Lepisosteus oculatus: one gene and its partner. The protein of the gene in region 1 purifies or fractionates together with the protein of each later gene. This does not show direct contact. Links are inferred from orthologs where the notes say so. Each region holds a gene or a part of one and is shown in the gene's direction. Other genes may lie near its edges. The genes, in order: rcc1 and ranbp1.

Region 1 (8,210 bases):
GTAATAACCTGGAAAGGTGTACAAAGGAAAATATTCCTAATGCACAAAGTTTTTTTTTTTTAATCACTACTGAACTTTTTTATGGAGATTTAAAATATGGGTGCACCTCGTCTCTTAAAGACGGGGGGGCTGTATAAAAATTCTCAGCCACCATAGGAGGAAAAGCTGGTTGTTTCAGAATGTTTTCTTTTTTCTGCCATAAACTTTCAGTCTTAAAGTAGAATGTAGTTTATGCATATCATCTGTCAAGCGGTGAAACGTGTTTGTTAAACTGTGACAGAAGTAAATGCAAAAATCTGTCCAATAAGTGCTTTTAACTGTTTTTTTGGTTCTTTTTATTTTATTTACCCCCCCTTGAAAACAAATGTGCAGACTGAAACTTTTAGCAACTAGAGAACACAGCACCTTAAACCTTTACAGTAAATGTAAAATAAATAATAAAAGACTAACATTCAGGGTCAGATCTCTTAGTTTTTACAGAAAAAAAGAATCCGCCTCTTTGATGGATGACAGGGAAAATCATTTCGGCAGGAACATATTTTTCTTCATTTTTACTTACAATGTTTTAGTGTACTTTTTTGGGGCCAGTAGGAAACAAGTTCCTCACCTCTGCTGTATAGATTTATTCTGTAGATTACGTGAATGCATTGTATATCTTGTCTTCCTATCTTAAAAAGAAAAAAAGATTTTAAATATAATAAAAGTATTATAGGCTGTTTCATTGTTTTTCTTAATGACAGAATGGTTGGTGGTTCAGCAACACTACAAGGACTGGTATATAAAAACACCTGTTTTATTTTACAGATGTATAATTTTTGTAAAGAAATGCTATGGAATTTAGGCAGTTGATATCTGCACCTCTCTAATTAGCAATTAACAGCCACTGCAGAATCAAATTAAAAGCTTATAGAAAAGTGTCTCTTTTGTCTTATATTTCTTATGTATGAGGATATGTTTTGGGGGGGGGATTGATCATGCTGTCGGGCTAAGGTTTTCTACAGACTCTGCTGGATTAAGTCCATGTTGTCTATTTGATATGAATCCATTTTCAACAGTGCCTTTCAGGCAATGCATTCTTCACAAAGTGTTGTGCATTAATAAACTATAAAAGAGACTATTACGTGCAGTCTCTGTTAGAATGCGGAGAATAGAGTAGAATATAGATAGCTTACAATTAGAAACACAGTGACAGAAGATAAATGGTTGCAGAATGTTAATCTTTACACGCCATAGTAAAGGGCTTTTGCAGTACACAAAGCGTGCACAATTAACAAGCAAACAAACCTAGAACCCACCACCAGTTCAGTAACCAAGCATGATCAATGATGGGGAAAAAGCAGTTAAAGAACACAGCAACGTAACCAGCATGTGACCACTAAAGCAATACTTTTACCACTTGCCCTAAACCCCAAGAACAGCTTAGCCTTATACCTTGTATCAACCTTTAGGTAAGTTCTGCTTTCTCTCGTAAAAGTCTCGGTATTCCACTACCCAGTCCCTTGGGATTCGGCTGGTTGGCTTATGAAGCTGCACATACAGGGCCCTTAAGGCAGAATATTATTTTTCTTCCGTAAATGAGTTCTGCTCCTTTGGGTATTTATAACCCAGAATACGAGCCTAAAAGGAGGAAATGACCAAGAGGTAATTAGGAAAAGACATCATAGTACTTATATACCAAGTGTGGCAGCCGTGGTCATCGGGACTTTTGTTGTAAAAATGGCACATTTTTCTACTGTTCATACAAATTTTCTTATTTAAAGATAAGTGTGGTATATGCGGTTTCGCCGTGTGGTCAATGATATGAATGCCTCTTTCCAAGCATCGTTTCTTTACCATTTAAGAACTGATGGCATTTCTTAAAAGAGCAAAGAAAAGTTTTTAGGAAATAGAGCATGCTTTTTTTGGCTCCTCTTGTATGCCTGATGACTCCTATCTTATGGGTCCAAGAACAAATGCATAAATTAACACCTTCAAAAGATTGCCATGTGCTCTGCAAAAATTACAAACTAAATTCCCAGCTTTGAAGACACCGTGGGAGATGAGAAAATGATGTCGCACGAAGCGATAGTGGCAGAAATTGAATTCACTGAATGACTGTACAGTTACAGTGTATTGACAGCCCATAAAACCCGTTAATACAAAGTAAATAGGAAAATGCCAGGTTATTTCAAATAGTGGATTTAATTGACGAAGGGTAATTGATGGGGAAATAACCGTTGAAATACAAGATAAAAGAGCAAGAAATTACTTTCAAAGGACAAAAAGAATTCTCGTTTTCAGCACAGCTTTAAATCATTTTTGTTTCGATTTTAAAAAGTGTGTTGGGAGGGTAACTGCTTGGTCTCATTTGTTGTAGTATAGTCCTCCACTGAACTTCTTTCAATATACCTTTAGTAGATATATTTTTAAAAACGAGCTCATTTTATTGGCTCGACTGTGAAAACCTCAACAGACTCTTGTATATAGAGAGAATATGTTCATGTCTGAACATCTTCAAAACGGAGGGAAGTTTGGAGCTCTTATGAAAATAATCAAAAGCAAAGTGCGGCCACATACTTCGTAATTGTGCATGTTTATCAACACGGGTAAAGAAACAGCTGAAGCGAACGGGATCCGATGTATAATGTTATAGCTGGTGAAAACTGACGCCTCTTGGATGCTTGGTCCTTTGTCTGAATGATTCCATATGGACTAATGAACAGTTAACTGCGTATTCATTCAGCTTCATTTTATAGAAAAGAGCCCGTTAGTCCTTTCATATTCCAAAAAATCTCTCTAAATCATGCAGCTGTAAAACTGATTTTAATGTACAGGCAACCTTTTTAAACAAGGGTATGTTTGTTAAATAATGAGGTCAATTAAACTTTTGGGAAAGGGTATGTGGTTCTATTTTTTTTATTTAAATTGAATTTTAAATGAAATGTCAGTTCAGCCATCTAGTTAAATTGATCAGCTTTCTTAACCACTTTAAAATAGTCAGATTGTCTAATTTGATTGATTGATTAATTTGAAATAAAGATTAGGGGATACTAATATAAATTGTATAAATGTAAAAAAAATGCACATTTTTAAAGTCATCTTTAATGTCCACGTCAAACCAATGCAGCAAAGCAATAGAAAAAAAACCCCAAACATCGTTGAGGCTTAACAGCAGTGGAGTTTAAGAGGACAATCGTACTCAAGATTTAACAGAGACTCGTTTCGAATATTGTGTACAGGCATGGTAGCTGTTACCATAAAAAAGGAACCTTAGAAAGAGATCAAAGTAGAGCAGCAAGAAAAACTCCTGATCTCAGTGAGTTGTCATGTACCCGATAGAAATTCCAACAGTTTCTTAAACGGCCTCACAATCAACTTCACTGCCATGGCTAGGAGCTGGCTTCAGGCTCATACAGTCATCTGTGTAAGAATACAAACATTGCCAACTAGAGGAGACTCTTAGGGCTGTCTAGTTTACAAACCCGTCTGCCGTCTTGTGCTCTGAATTCTCCCAAACCTGATTTCGGTTTTTACATCGTTACTCCTCCTGAAACAATCCCTCGATTTGTTTTTGTCCGTTTCTGAGCTGCAAGGCGATTTTTATTTATTTTTTTGCGGCTAAAAACGTTCAGCGTCTTCAATGGCCCTCCCACATCAACGATTGACGACCAAATGATTCGTGCAGTGTACCTGTCAATTGAGCTAAAATACAAAGATTTGTCTGCTGCGTATAATATGCCCAACACTTGGCTTTGAAAGGCGAGCGACGCGTGGTTTTGTAGCATTTATTGAAACTAGACGGGTTAGATGCATACTGGGGCTGTATGAATTGGCCCTTTCTAAAAAGCGAGAAAGATGAAAAGCTCCGAAAGTGAAAATGATTTATTCCCTTTCTCTCGACAGCTGAGTTTTCAGTTGTTCCGCCAATTCTAATCTTGTAGCTTTGCTACCATCTGGCGGCAAGATATACAGTAGGGGACAAAAAGCTTATCATCCCAATTATATTTAAGTGGGTCTAACATCTTTTTGTTCAGGACAATCACGGGTGGCAATTGTTTTCCACTGTTTTGTGTTTTTCCTCTTTCGTGCTACGAAATATTTAAGTGATTTCTTTAACTTTTTAACTGAACGGATCTGCTAAGATTGGCTAAAAGCTGTTGAAAGGTGTGGGTTGTCAGCAGACAGTTGTCTCGCAGTTCCTGGCCCCCTTACTGTTTCCCAGAAAGGGAATTGGGTGTCTTTGAGTGATCTCTGCATGCGATATTCGGGTTTGGTTTTGTTTACCCAAATTCTGGTGTGAATAGCGCCGTGTCGCATGTGCATTTGAAAGAGTACATCGTGTGAAAGTTAAATGAGATGGCACTCCGACTTAACCTTCACCATATCGTTCTGAAGACATTCTTAGTAACACTGCATAATTTAGGACTTGTGTGAACATTGACCAAGGGGAAAGAATTAAAGATCACTTTGTTTCATTCTTTTTGATTTATTGATTTGACTGTTTCATCCCCAATGGGAGTAGCTGGTGTCAATAAGAAACGAGCTGTTTTTATCCTTTTTTATCCGTTCGCTTCCCCCCCCAAAATTTAGGGAAGTGTGCAATTGTTAAGTTAAAGAAGACAGGCATAACACAACGTGGCATTGTTCCGTCAGAGGAAAAAATATCTCTGTTGTTTTTCTGTTAACTTATCTCAAAACACCAATGTCTTTCTTGTGTAGTGGACACAGAATGATATATAATAATCCAAATCAGGTTAGAATCAGGTCACCACCCTTAGCCTTTTCTGTTCACAACTAAAATGATTTGCTTCTTTTAACCTGTCAGTACATCCCCGTTAACACAGAAATGTACCTAGTTACTCATTCTAAAGGAAAATATTTTGTGGCCATAACTGTATCCAATATTCTATAAAAGGCACTGTACGTCTATATATAATCCCATCTAAAATCCTTAGTATACATTTTATAAACGTTGTTTGTTTTTCTATCTGCGATTGTACCCATTGATTGTCACCAATCAGCAGATATGCTAGGCTTTAGAGTATAAGTATGTATCTACATTTTTACCTGTGTGGAGCACCTGATGAACAAACATTTCCCCCCAAAACGTCAGAGACGGTGTAGGAGCTGTAAGGAGAGGTGTCTGTCCCTTTAAGAGGGCAGGCAGGAGCAGCCGCATGGAGAGGGAGAGTGGAAATTGTGTGGTTTTCAACTTAACAACAGGACACTCTCGGCTGTGGTAAAGTATGGCAATAAACTAGCGCGTTACTGTTATTCTCGCAGTATTTTTTAGTGAATACAGCTGAAAGGTTGTAGATAAACTGTGATATCCGACGGTCAAAGTCGAAATTCGCGACTTAAATAGCGAACAGACAATTCCAGAACATTTTATTGGCTCGGTTTCTTATGACTTCTGTTTTTTTTTTAATTGTCGGTATCCAGCGGGGGGACAAAAAGGCTTTGTGTCTTTTATTTTAAAAGTCTTTTTGGTTAGATATATTATAACTTTATAAAAGGCTTTTTATGTTTGCGCATGGTTTTCTGTGCACGTTACTTTAAAAGTACCTTATCCTGTACGTGTGCTCAAATTGTGCCAATAAAGTTATTCAATATGTATTTGCCCTTCGTGGTAATCCTGCCAGACTTGAAAGTAATGGTAACGTATTACATGTTAAGAGTAGATGAATGTTTCGTAGAGCACTGCGGTGTGTAAAAAAAAAATGATGGGGTTGTGTGGGAGACCTGGTTAAACCTGGATGGCTCCGCGTGGCCTTTTAAAAAAAAAATAGCGGGTCGCGAAAACACCGTGAACCAGGAAATGAATGACTGGGAGCGAGTACCGCCATGCTTTAAAAATGCATTTCCTAAAATAAGGCTCTGAGCCTATGCATCTGCAACGGGAACAGAGCAGTTTTTGTTTTGTGGTCTTCCTGGACTTCGTGCATCAGCCCCTGTCAGTCATTTTTTTTTTAATCAGAAGATCTGTTGCAAACGCGTGGATCGCTGCACCGGCAGCTGTAGTTCATGTGCATTTAAGGAGGTTATCCCCTCGTAGCGATAAGGGATTTATTGCATTTAATGCTCTTTACCTCTATTTTTCGTCCAGTTGCTAGGACTTTCTTTATCGTCGCCACCCCTGAAACATTGTGAGTGACGTTGTTTTTCTGTCGACTTGCTAGTTTGCAAGTCCTAAAAAAGCTTTTTGCATGTTTACCAAAGGCCATGCGCGTAGACAGCAGCAGTTGCTTTAATTGAGCTTCTCGGTGCTGCATGATAACTGAATGATTCTGCGTAATCGCGGTGTAGGCGCGTTTATATACAGCTCCTTTCAGTAAGTTATGATTGTTTTTGACTTAAGGGTTTCCTTTTAATTATCAATAGTATCAAAATGTCTACGCCTGTTGGTCGTTGGATCTCTTTACAATGACGTGGCATGGTGTGTCGGTGTTGGACATCAGTTGTAGCTATATTTACTAAGTGGCGTGCGTTCTATGGTCCAGAGACATAAATACAAATATTCTGCAGTGGTCCTATACTACCTGTGACAAGCGGTAATATCTGCCTCTATATTGCTTAACATATGTAGCCAAAGTCGTGATATCTGTGTGCACTGCATGTTAAGATCTGTATAAGGCCTGTACGTTTGATTTTCTGTTTGTCTCCTCTAACAGTAGAAGAGACCAACATGCCTGGAAAAAAGGCTGCAAAGAGGCCCAGCCCATCAGTGGAAGTCAAGCCCTCCAAGAAAGTAAAAGGTAGGTCATTGAGTGTCCAGTGGTCTCTCTGACCTATAGTAGCCCTCTCATGCTGGGGCTGCTGAAAAGCATTGGGAAGAGTTCTGGCTGTAAAATGGTGTTTATTAATTACTGCTGGTTTCTGTACATCGGGAAAACTACACATCTTCAGAGGAGGCATTCCATTAGGAGTTCTTTTATTGTAAACAAGTTAGCATTTTCAGAGTTCTTTCCTTCTACTTTATGATCCGATTCTTCTGTTGGGTGTTTTTTGCAGTCAGTAAAGTAGTTGTATTTATGTTTGCATCCCAAATATGATGTAAACTTCACATCAAGTAAAATCTGGGGCTAATGTGTGCATGACTGAAGTATAGCGCCCCATATAAGCATACTGGTTTGCTTAAAGCTCCGATTCATGCATGTCCTGTGTTGCCCAATTCTAGATCAGTGAGTGTTAATGTCAGACTAATACCAACAGTATTCACCTATAATTAGGACAAGTTGAACTTGAGGATCTTGACCGAAATGAGAAGCCTGGTGTATTTGAATGACACTATAAGTGTTTTCCTCATTCATATACAATACAGTTATACCTTATTTCTGATTTGTTTGCAAAAAACATACAAAAACTATGTTTAATAAGCATTAGATTAAAATAGATATAACATTACACAAATGACATCAACCTATACATAGTCCTTATGTACCACTCCTACAGGAATCCGCACAGATAACCAGAACCTGTGAGTTTACTCCCTTCCACAATCACTCCAAGCTCCTATAATTTCACATTATCACTTCGTTTTGCACCTAACCCCTCATTGCACGGAATTCCTCAATTGGTTAAGTCTGCATTGAAGGACTCTAAAGCACCTATGTGAGGGCATCAGTCGGTATCCTGTGGGAATTTACATTTTTCTAAGAAGAATTCATAGTCTGCAGCACAAGCCTGACATGCATTTTATTTACCTGCCGCTCTTTAGCAGAACCTTGCGCAAAGTTGCTTTGGCAGATTTCCAGGCGCATTCACTTGACCATGTGCTTGCTCTGACGTGTCGCATAATCCCAGCTGTTCCCTCCTCCCACAGTGTCCCACGGCTCCCATGGGAAGCAGGCGGGGCAGGTGCTGGTGCTGGGGCAGGGGGACGTTGGGCAGCTGGGGCTGGGCGAGGATGTGATGGAGAGGAAAAGGCCGGCGCTGGTCTCCCTGCCGGAGAGTGTAGTGCAGGCCGAAGCTGGAGGGATGCACACGGTGTGTCTCAGCGACACTGGAAATGTGAGTGACTTCCACCCCCCTCACCTTTAATGAGTCTTGAAAACCTTATGACAACTTTGTTTCTTTACCCAGCAGATATTTCTAATAAAATAAAGGATCTTCAGTGTGGTGTAAGGGTAGGCTCCAGTGGAATTTAAGGACACGAAACACTGGGCAAACTATTCTTAGACAAGATGGGACCGATAGCCTTCCTTTAATTGTACCATTCTTATTATTTAGGA
Region 2 (8,007 bases), on another chromosome or scaffold:
CGACGGCACAGGAGCCCCCCTTGTACTTGCCCAGCCGGAACCCCACCGTCTTATCCTGCCCGTTCGCTCCCACTCCAATGAGAAACTCACACTTGTTGCGATATTCCGTCTGCCGGAAGGAATTTTTAAAAAAAAACATGACTCCTTTAAAATTCCACTGCGTTAACAAAGCCACCAAGAAGCCCCGCCCATCCACCGACGGAATATGGTGCTTTTTTTCCCCATCCGGAGATCTCCAGTTGATTAAACACATTCCCGCAAAACTCCAACACTGTAAGAGCTCGAAAATGTGGGAGGAACCCGTGCTGAAGAGGTTCCCCTCAGTCTTCTTTGAGTTTGTGTAAGGTTTCTTGTTATTTTTACTGGGAAAACTAACATACTGGATAATGGTTCCCTGTACCATTAAATAATCTTGAAAGTTGCGCTGTTACACTGAAATCCAAGAGCAGCTATCCAGATACATTATAAAAATAAGTTAATTACAATTTCTTTTGCTTTATCTGACTGAAAACAAAACAATCTAACCTGGTAACCTAGAACTATATGTACAGTTTATCATTCATGAGGCATACAATGCCCTTCAAGTTTATTAATATCTCAGGTGAAATATGATTAAAAACATCATATAGCAGAGTGAGTTATGAATTGGGTAATATGCTTCCCTTACAGATAATAATGCTATAACGTTAGGATAATTGCATGGAAACAAAGCAAATAATTCAATGAATTCCAGAAAACAAGAAGGTCAAAACAGTCTAAAAGTATTCCTTTAAATTAAATTCAACACCAATTCAAAACAAATCTACAGTAACATTCTGCTCTTTGGAAACCTTTGGAACTATATTGAGGCCTCTGAACATTTCCCCATTAACCTGGGTTATGAAATAATGAAACACATTGGTTAAGGTCAGAGAGAAAACACTCCAGCCCACCATCTTTAATGTTTTGGGGCTGTCCAGGAGACCTTTTTAAGATAAGAAAAACCGTGAACTGCAATACATACCAGGACATTTTGGCCAGACAATTGTTTCTTTTTGCCAAGAAGCTCATGCTTAACAAAAAATGTACATTCTAGAATGACAATGATCCAAAGCACACATCCAGATTGAAAAGCAAATGGCTAAATGTAGACAAAATGTTCTTGAATGTATTACTATGTATTGTGCTGCTGGAATTCTGGACATTCTAAACCCTAAGAAAGTACAGCAAGTGAAGTTCTAGGGCTTCATCCATATAGTGTGCAGTCTGCTTGTAATCAATCACTGCAAGTGGATTCTGTAGTGACTATACACTCCTACCTAGACCTTCAAACTAAAAACAATTATGTGTCAATCTGGGTGAGGGATCATGAGTACCGGCCTCCAAGATCATGACCTACCTTTGAAGGCCTGGGTTTGGCTGCAATATCTTGCCAGGTTAGAAACTGCTATTTGGTAACACCCAAGATAGTGAGCCACAGTGCACCGAGCTAGTTCAGCTTCTATCAGATCAATGGCATGAAGGCATTATTCTCTTGAAGACAAAGCAAGTTGCTTCCCTGTGTTTTTCTTTCTCTTCCCCCCCCCCCACCAGGACCGACGGGTCAACAGGTTATTTCATCTTTAATCACCTCATCACCTTTGCCGAATCAGCTCTCTGTAATGAGGCGATTCGGTCATGATTGAAATGACGAAAACATTTAATACTGAACATTCAGATCATCTATTTTACCAAAAACATGCACACAAAAGAGTGATAAGTTTCTTTTTACTCTCAGTACAGCAAACCAGTGAAAAGACCATCTGGTCTTTTCGCCAGAAAGAAAGCGTGCATCTGGAGCTTACTTAATCACCCAGCCAAGCTCACAGCTGCCAGGCAGGCTGCCTCTTCCACAGCCAGATGATAACACTGAAGCCAGGTCTGGACCACATAGCTAACATGACAGGCTGACGCAGTAAGAGACATGAATTTGAGGTTGCCAGGCAGCCCAATCTGTACAAAATGATGACCTTATCAGAGTGACTCAACAGTAAGGCTGTGGTTGCCACGAGCAGCAAGAACGTAGGCAATCTGTGAGTGATCAGGAACAATAAACAGCATGCACCACTGTACCTGGACTGGAGATGGTCTAATGGCCTCCAGCGGACAACACATTTTATTGTACTTCTGCTTCTGAACAAATAGCCAAGGCAGCATGGCTTTGTTATTATTGCCGATTTCTCTAAAGAGAATCAAGAAAGAAAAAGATCAGTGGTCATTGATTCAAATAAGAATAGTTTTGTTTGATTGAAAAGGAGTTTTCCATGCTCCCAATAGCAATACATTAGCAGCAACACAAATGATTGTATGAACACTTCCACACATGGCTATCTGCAAACAAATTAAGCTGCTTTCTCAACCATAAAACATGCATCACCGAAAACAGGTTATCTCAGAAGCTCAGATTTCACAGCATTCCACTGCTAGGTAGCTCTCCGGACAATATAAGACACGAGAGACTTAGTTTTTAAATTTTAAGATGCAGACAGGAGTCTCAAAATCACTTTCTGGAGGGCTTACTGCCTTCTGGATTACATACCACTCTCAGTCATGCAGTTGGATTAATTAACGGTGTAATATTAATACTTCCATTAGTATGGAAGGAGAATATTCCAAGCATGGGTGCAGTTATAGAGGTGGGCCTGAATGCTGTGAGCAAGCAAAGGCATAACACCTTAAAAATAAACCTATTTATGCGTAATTAAAAAACAAGATTAAATCAATTAGTCAGCATGGAATAAAAACAAAAAGATATCGAACCGTCCTGTAAATGACTGTAAAGGTCCCTGCTTTTAGTGGCATGCAATCATCCCATTGGATCACAAATAAAGTACTAAGTTACCAACTTTGCCAGTCTTTGCAGGATTCCTTCACTTTCCTGCTCTTTCCTCTTTAGCTGCTCTTCATAAGGGACATTCCAGAGTGGCGTCACCACATCTGCAATCTGCTTACTGAGTGGCTCCTCCTCCTCTGTCCCTTCCTCTCCCCTGTGGCGCTTTGCAGGAACCTGCCCTCCCTCGGGCTCCTCCAGCTGCAGCTGCTGCCTCTTCTTCAGGATGGGGTCTGCCTTGGGCTTGGCCAGCCGCACGCTCAGAACCCGGCCCTTCCACAGCAGCCCATGGACAGCCTTCATGGCCTTGTCCCGCTCCTCCTGGCTCTTGAAGGTGACGAAGGCAAAGTTCTGTCGCCCCAAGAGCTTGATCTTGTGCGGCGTCAGGCCGTGCTTGGCCAGAAACTTCTTCAGGTCGTTGAAGCCAATGAACCTGGGCAGGTGCTGGATCTCCACCTTGTAGATCTCCGAGGTGAAGAGCTCGTCTTTGATGTAGCGGTAGACGCTGGAGGTGCCCTCCTCTTCCTCGCCTTCGGGCTGGGGCTCTTTCGCAGAATCGCTGTCTTCCCCGTGCGCCTCTCTTTCTAAGGATGCGTCTTTGAACTCACCCCGATCCCCTTCCGTCGCTCCCGCCACCACACTTTCTGCTGCATCCGTCATGTCTCCAGACCCTGGAGAGCAAACACAAGAAGAGAAATCATTGCTCAAGGTACATTTCCTTTTGTAAAACCAAACGATTATCCAATACCTCCTTGTGACATAATCTGTTAAACTGAACAAGGCTAATGGCTTGCATCTGTAGAGCACTTTTCACCCCCAATGGATCTCAGAGTGCTTCACCTATAGGAGAGCACCCAGTTCATCCATCACCTCTCGTTGATGTGTGGCAGCGGCTGTGGGCCATCAGCCCCACTGTAGGGCAGATCAGGTGGAGAAGCAAGACACTGCTTCAGCAATCGAGTCAAGGGTGAAATGTTAGGGAGGCCAGATCGTGCACAGACAGAGTGGAATTTAGCCAGGACACTGGGGGTACACCCATGGTCTGAGAACAAAACTTTCCTATGTTCTCTCAGTACACAAAAATACACACATATTACTGTGATGTGTTATTTTTGTGTCATGTACTACATATCACTTGTGATTCTTTAGCTTTCACTGTGTTTGTTTCCATCTTAACATGGAAGTTAATAGGGAATGTCTTACATTACTCTGCCTTTCAGGATTTTAAATACAGAACACAGGAGGACGTGAAAATTTGTCACCTGCTTCAATACTCGCAGTTCACGTGGTTAACCATAACACTAAATACATTTTAGTCCACAAGTTGCAAAATACGTAACTATGTTTCTATATTTTACAGCAAGAAAAATAACTAAGTAATTCCACTTTACTCACTTAAGATTTTTTGTTACATTTCTTTTTTTTTTGGTGCTGTCTGGTTCGCAGTTCTTTGCAAAATTAACTTCATTTATGGCATTGCTTATAGACCATAATTTCATTTTGCTGTCTTCATATACGTATTAAATCTTATTTAACCCCAGCGATTTAGGATAAAACGTGATGAAGCAAGACGGCTTACCTTATCGCTCGCTATTAAAGTAAAAAAGTTTAAACCCTACACTGTCGCATTTACTCAATTCAGCTGCACACGTGAGCAACCATGTTAGCACGGAAAAATAGTGCCGCGTTACAAACGCTAAGCATGGCGGGAGATTAATTTTAAACCTTTATATATTTAATTAGAAAAATAATTTTCATTTTCTATCGAAATGGTTTATTACACAAGTATATAACTAAAGAATACGGAATAAACATGTTTAAACTAGCATTTGTAGTGTAAAGGAAGTGACGTACAAGGTCGGAGGCCCCTGAAAAATAAAAATAATATTAAATGAATTAAAAACAAAAAAACGTTTATTAGATATATATAACCTACAAGAGATGCGGTTCTTGACATTTTCAGTTTTTATTTTAAAATTTTAGGGCCAAATGGCAAGACGTGAAAAATAGAAACAAATGAAAGCTAATTTATAAAACGATTTGCGTGGTGAAATAATAACACTGACTGCGGGCTTTTTAATTTTAGGTTTTTATGTCTAAAATTGAAAGGAGGGGAAAAGGGGGGGGAAAGTCGGGGTGTAATTTAGCGGCGACGGGAGGAGGCTGCTGGGAGTGAGGTAAATGCCGGAGGAGGAACTTTTCAGGGCGCGAAAGGAGCAGCAGGAAGAGAGAGGGATCGACAGACACGGGCGGTTTTTAAATTAAACATCGGCCACCCGTTCCGTAATCCGCAATCATCTTGTACAACATGGCAGATACCAAGGTAAGGATCGGGCGTCAGGGCGTCTTATCGTTTGCTGATTTCGAGAAAACCGGTATTGGAAGATCAAGAGGCCGGTTTTAGGGGATATTATTGCGTTTTATCTCTCTTTTCGGGCTATCATGGGGGAAATTTTTAAAAGCCGACCGGGGTGTGGAGGGTTTGATGTCGTTCTCCTGGCCAGCAGGTTAGAGGTTTTTTTTGGGGGGGGGTGTCAAACAGCTAAGTTTCTGCATCAAAGTGCCCCGTGTCTTAAGTTTTTTTTTTTTTGCTGTTGCTGCATTTGGAAAGCTGTGTTTAAAAAAAGTTTAAAACACGTCCACCTGCGTCGTCCTTCACTGCCAGGTTAAGCTTTTAGCTGAGCCCAGGTTATTCCGCTTGTATCGTCGGGTTAATTTTTATTTTTGAGAGTCCTTTTACGTTTTTGAAATCAGTTCCCGTGTGATGCATTTTGTCTCCTGGGGTTTTTCAGCCTTTCCAGTGCGGCTATCGCGGTGCACGCAGACTGCTGGCGTTCACAACGTGACCCTCACATTGTCTGCAAGTTGCAGTGTCCCAGCGCATCATCGCACTCACAAATGGCGTGTTTCGGCATTTTTTTTTACTTAATGTTTATTTTGTCATTTGAGTCTTTCCATAAAACGTATGAGCCGATAACAGCAGGTAGAAAAAATGCCCCGGTGCAATTCTAGAAGTTATAAGGGCTGAATAACTGCTGCGTTTTATTTTCGTAACGGCATCAGATCTAGATATCCTATTGATTAAAAATTGACCTGAGTTTTTCAAGGGGGTTTTCATTTCGCCATGTTTCACTGAAGAACAATGATTGCATTTCTTATTATCTAGACGTTTAAGCTAAATCGTGTGCAACAGACCGCCCAGCACAATGCCGATGTTAAAAGCCGGCACAGTTGTGGTCGAAAGGGATTCTGCTGGATGTCAAAGAAAAGGCCTTGTATTTACATTTATGGTTTTAAAACAATCCATGCAATGGGTTTCTTCGTAAGGGAAAGGCTTGACTTTTAGAGTGCACGTCTGCATGTTCTAATTCAGATCTACCGACGGCTCATCCAGTTGTACATTTTTTTTGGACTTTAATTCCCTATGATGATGTGCTTTGAATATAGCTGATAAGTCAGTTCAGCCAAGGAAACGCAAGATGGGGGGTGGGGGGGTGGGAGTGTGAAGACCATTTGGACACACCACAACCTTTTTGAGTTAAAAAAAAAGAATCTGTCTGGATTGTATTGTCTATATTGTTGCATGTGCATGCAAGTGCAGCCGATTGAGGCCTATAGGCAAAGAATCTTCTCATGCAAAATTTGAACCTCCTTACTCAGCATTAGTGGCATTATGTCCAGTTGCCACAGCAGTTTCACTCCAAAGAGAACCTCGCTCCAAAGCAGGATCTTCTAAATCCCCCCTATTCACTTCATAGTGCTGGTGCGTAGTTGCACACTGTGCTAGTTCACATGCTAGATCTGTAATGAACGTCCCCCCGCTCTCTAATGTACACCACCCCTGATGAATCCTCGACATTTTCCCAGATTTTTAACTTATTTCCCCTCGTTTCCTGTGCTTTTACATTCTTGTGTCATGGTGGGGTGTGTTTCTCCTCTTAACTGTGCAATGAAGCTTGTGATGAGAATTAAACGTCTCGTTTTGAGTTTTAAGCTTTGGTTACAATACATCCACACCGAGAAATGAACTCAAGAGGACTTGCCTTTCTGGTTTCTGTGTGTCAACGAGTCTTCTTGTCTTTCTCAGGATACACAGGAAGACCATGAGACCACTGCAGAGAATGCAGATGAGTCTACCCACGACCCTCATTTTGAGCCCATCGTGTCGCTGCCTGAGCAGGAGGTGAAAACATTGGAGGAGGATGAGGAGGAACTCTTTAAGATGTAAGAAAGCACCTGTTTAGGCCGAAGCCATCCTGCGGGCCTCTTCATTGACGTGTGTCTCAAAGATATGTTTCTCTGAGTGCTTGAAAGTGTCGCCCTTTGCAATTTTAAGGAGGCTGCAAAGGATTTGGACAATCCTTTGAAAGTCTAACATTTAAAGACGAGCAAATTTTCATTGCCTGCCTCCATCAACCGTCCAAATTGTTCAAGATTTTGCCGCGGTGCTTAGTTTATAGTTCGGCAGGTTTGTAAAGAAAATGCAAAGAATGGTTTTAACACCACAGAGACATTGCGTGGTTATTACGATGGAATCTACTTGCAGGCCGCAGAATGTCCACTCGGTCTGTGGTGTAGTTTTTATCGCCCTGAGGTTGAGCAGGCTGCTCTCACAGCGCGTGTTTCCCGTCTTTAGGCGAGCAAAGCTGTACCGGTTCGCTTCGGAGAACGACCCCCCGGAGTGGAAGGAGAGGGGCACCGGGGATGTTAAGCTCCTGAGGCACAAAGAGAAAGGAACCATCCGTCTGCTGATGAGGAGAGACAGGACTCTCAAAATCTGTGCAAACCACAACAGTAGGTGTTTTGCCTTTTCTTGTGCTGTGGCTCTTTGTGTCCGTTGAAGACGTGCTTAAAAGATAGATACTTTATTAAAATAGAATATCTGCTTTATTTAAAGTACTTTATTTCCCCTACTGCGGAAATTTCTTGGGCTTCTCCCACACAATACAAAACTTACAAGCGAAACATCACATGAAATCACAAGAACGGTATGTGATGGATGAATAAACGGGTAATGGGGGAACTACATTTACGTCATTGTTATATTTTAGATTTAGGCCTCAATCTAGTAGTAAAACTGCCATTGTTTGTAGCATTGCCTGAAAGCTGGCGAGTTGTGAATTGCATGTTAACAAGTGTTGGTCTTCTTTCAGTCGCTC

What was found.
Region 2: the proteins of rcc1 (region 1) and ranbp1 purify together in Homo sapiens (affinity purification with mass spectrometry; 3 studies listed by BioGRID and IntAct, counting the BioPlex papers as one, with this or other methods). This does not show direct contact. The link is inferred for Lepisosteus oculatus from reciprocal best matches to the Homo sapiens genes RCC1 and RANBP1.

What each region holds. Positions count from the first base shown.
Region 1 is NC_090706.1:6,698,918-6,707,127, forward strand, and holds the start of rcc1 (regulator of chromosome condensation), read left to right. Parts: upstream 1-5,128; 5' UTR 5,129-5,218; exon of another isoform or gene 5,219-5,223; intron 5,224-5,538; exon of another isoform or gene 5,539-5,635; intron 5,636-5,946; exon of another isoform or gene 5,947-6,125; intron 6,126-6,650; 5' UTR 6,651-6,664; coding exon 6,665-6,734; intron 6,735-7,801; coding exon 7,802-7,989; intron 7,990-8,210. UniProt on the Homo sapiens protein: Guanine-nucleotide releasing factor that promotes the exchange of Ran-bound GDP by GTP, and thereby plays an important role in RAN-mediated functions in nuclear import and mitosis.
Region 2 is NC_090717.1:3,014,375-3,022,381, forward strand, and holds the start of ranbp1 (ran-specific GTPase-activating protein), read left to right. Parts: upstream 1-5,007; 5' UTR 5,008-5,156; coding exon 5,157-5,171; intron 5,172-6,935; coding exon 6,936-7,072; intron 7,073-7,484; coding exon 7,485-7,642; intron 7,643-8,001; coding exon 8,002-8,007. Other genes in the region: trmt2a (tRNA (uracil-5-)-methyltransferase homolog A), read right to left, coding at 1-109, 2,092-2,200, 2,865-3,508. UniProt on the Homo sapiens protein: Plays a role in RAN-dependent nucleocytoplasmic transport. Alleviates the TNPO1-dependent inhibition of RAN GTPase activity and mediates the dissociation of RAN from proteins involved in transport into the nucleus.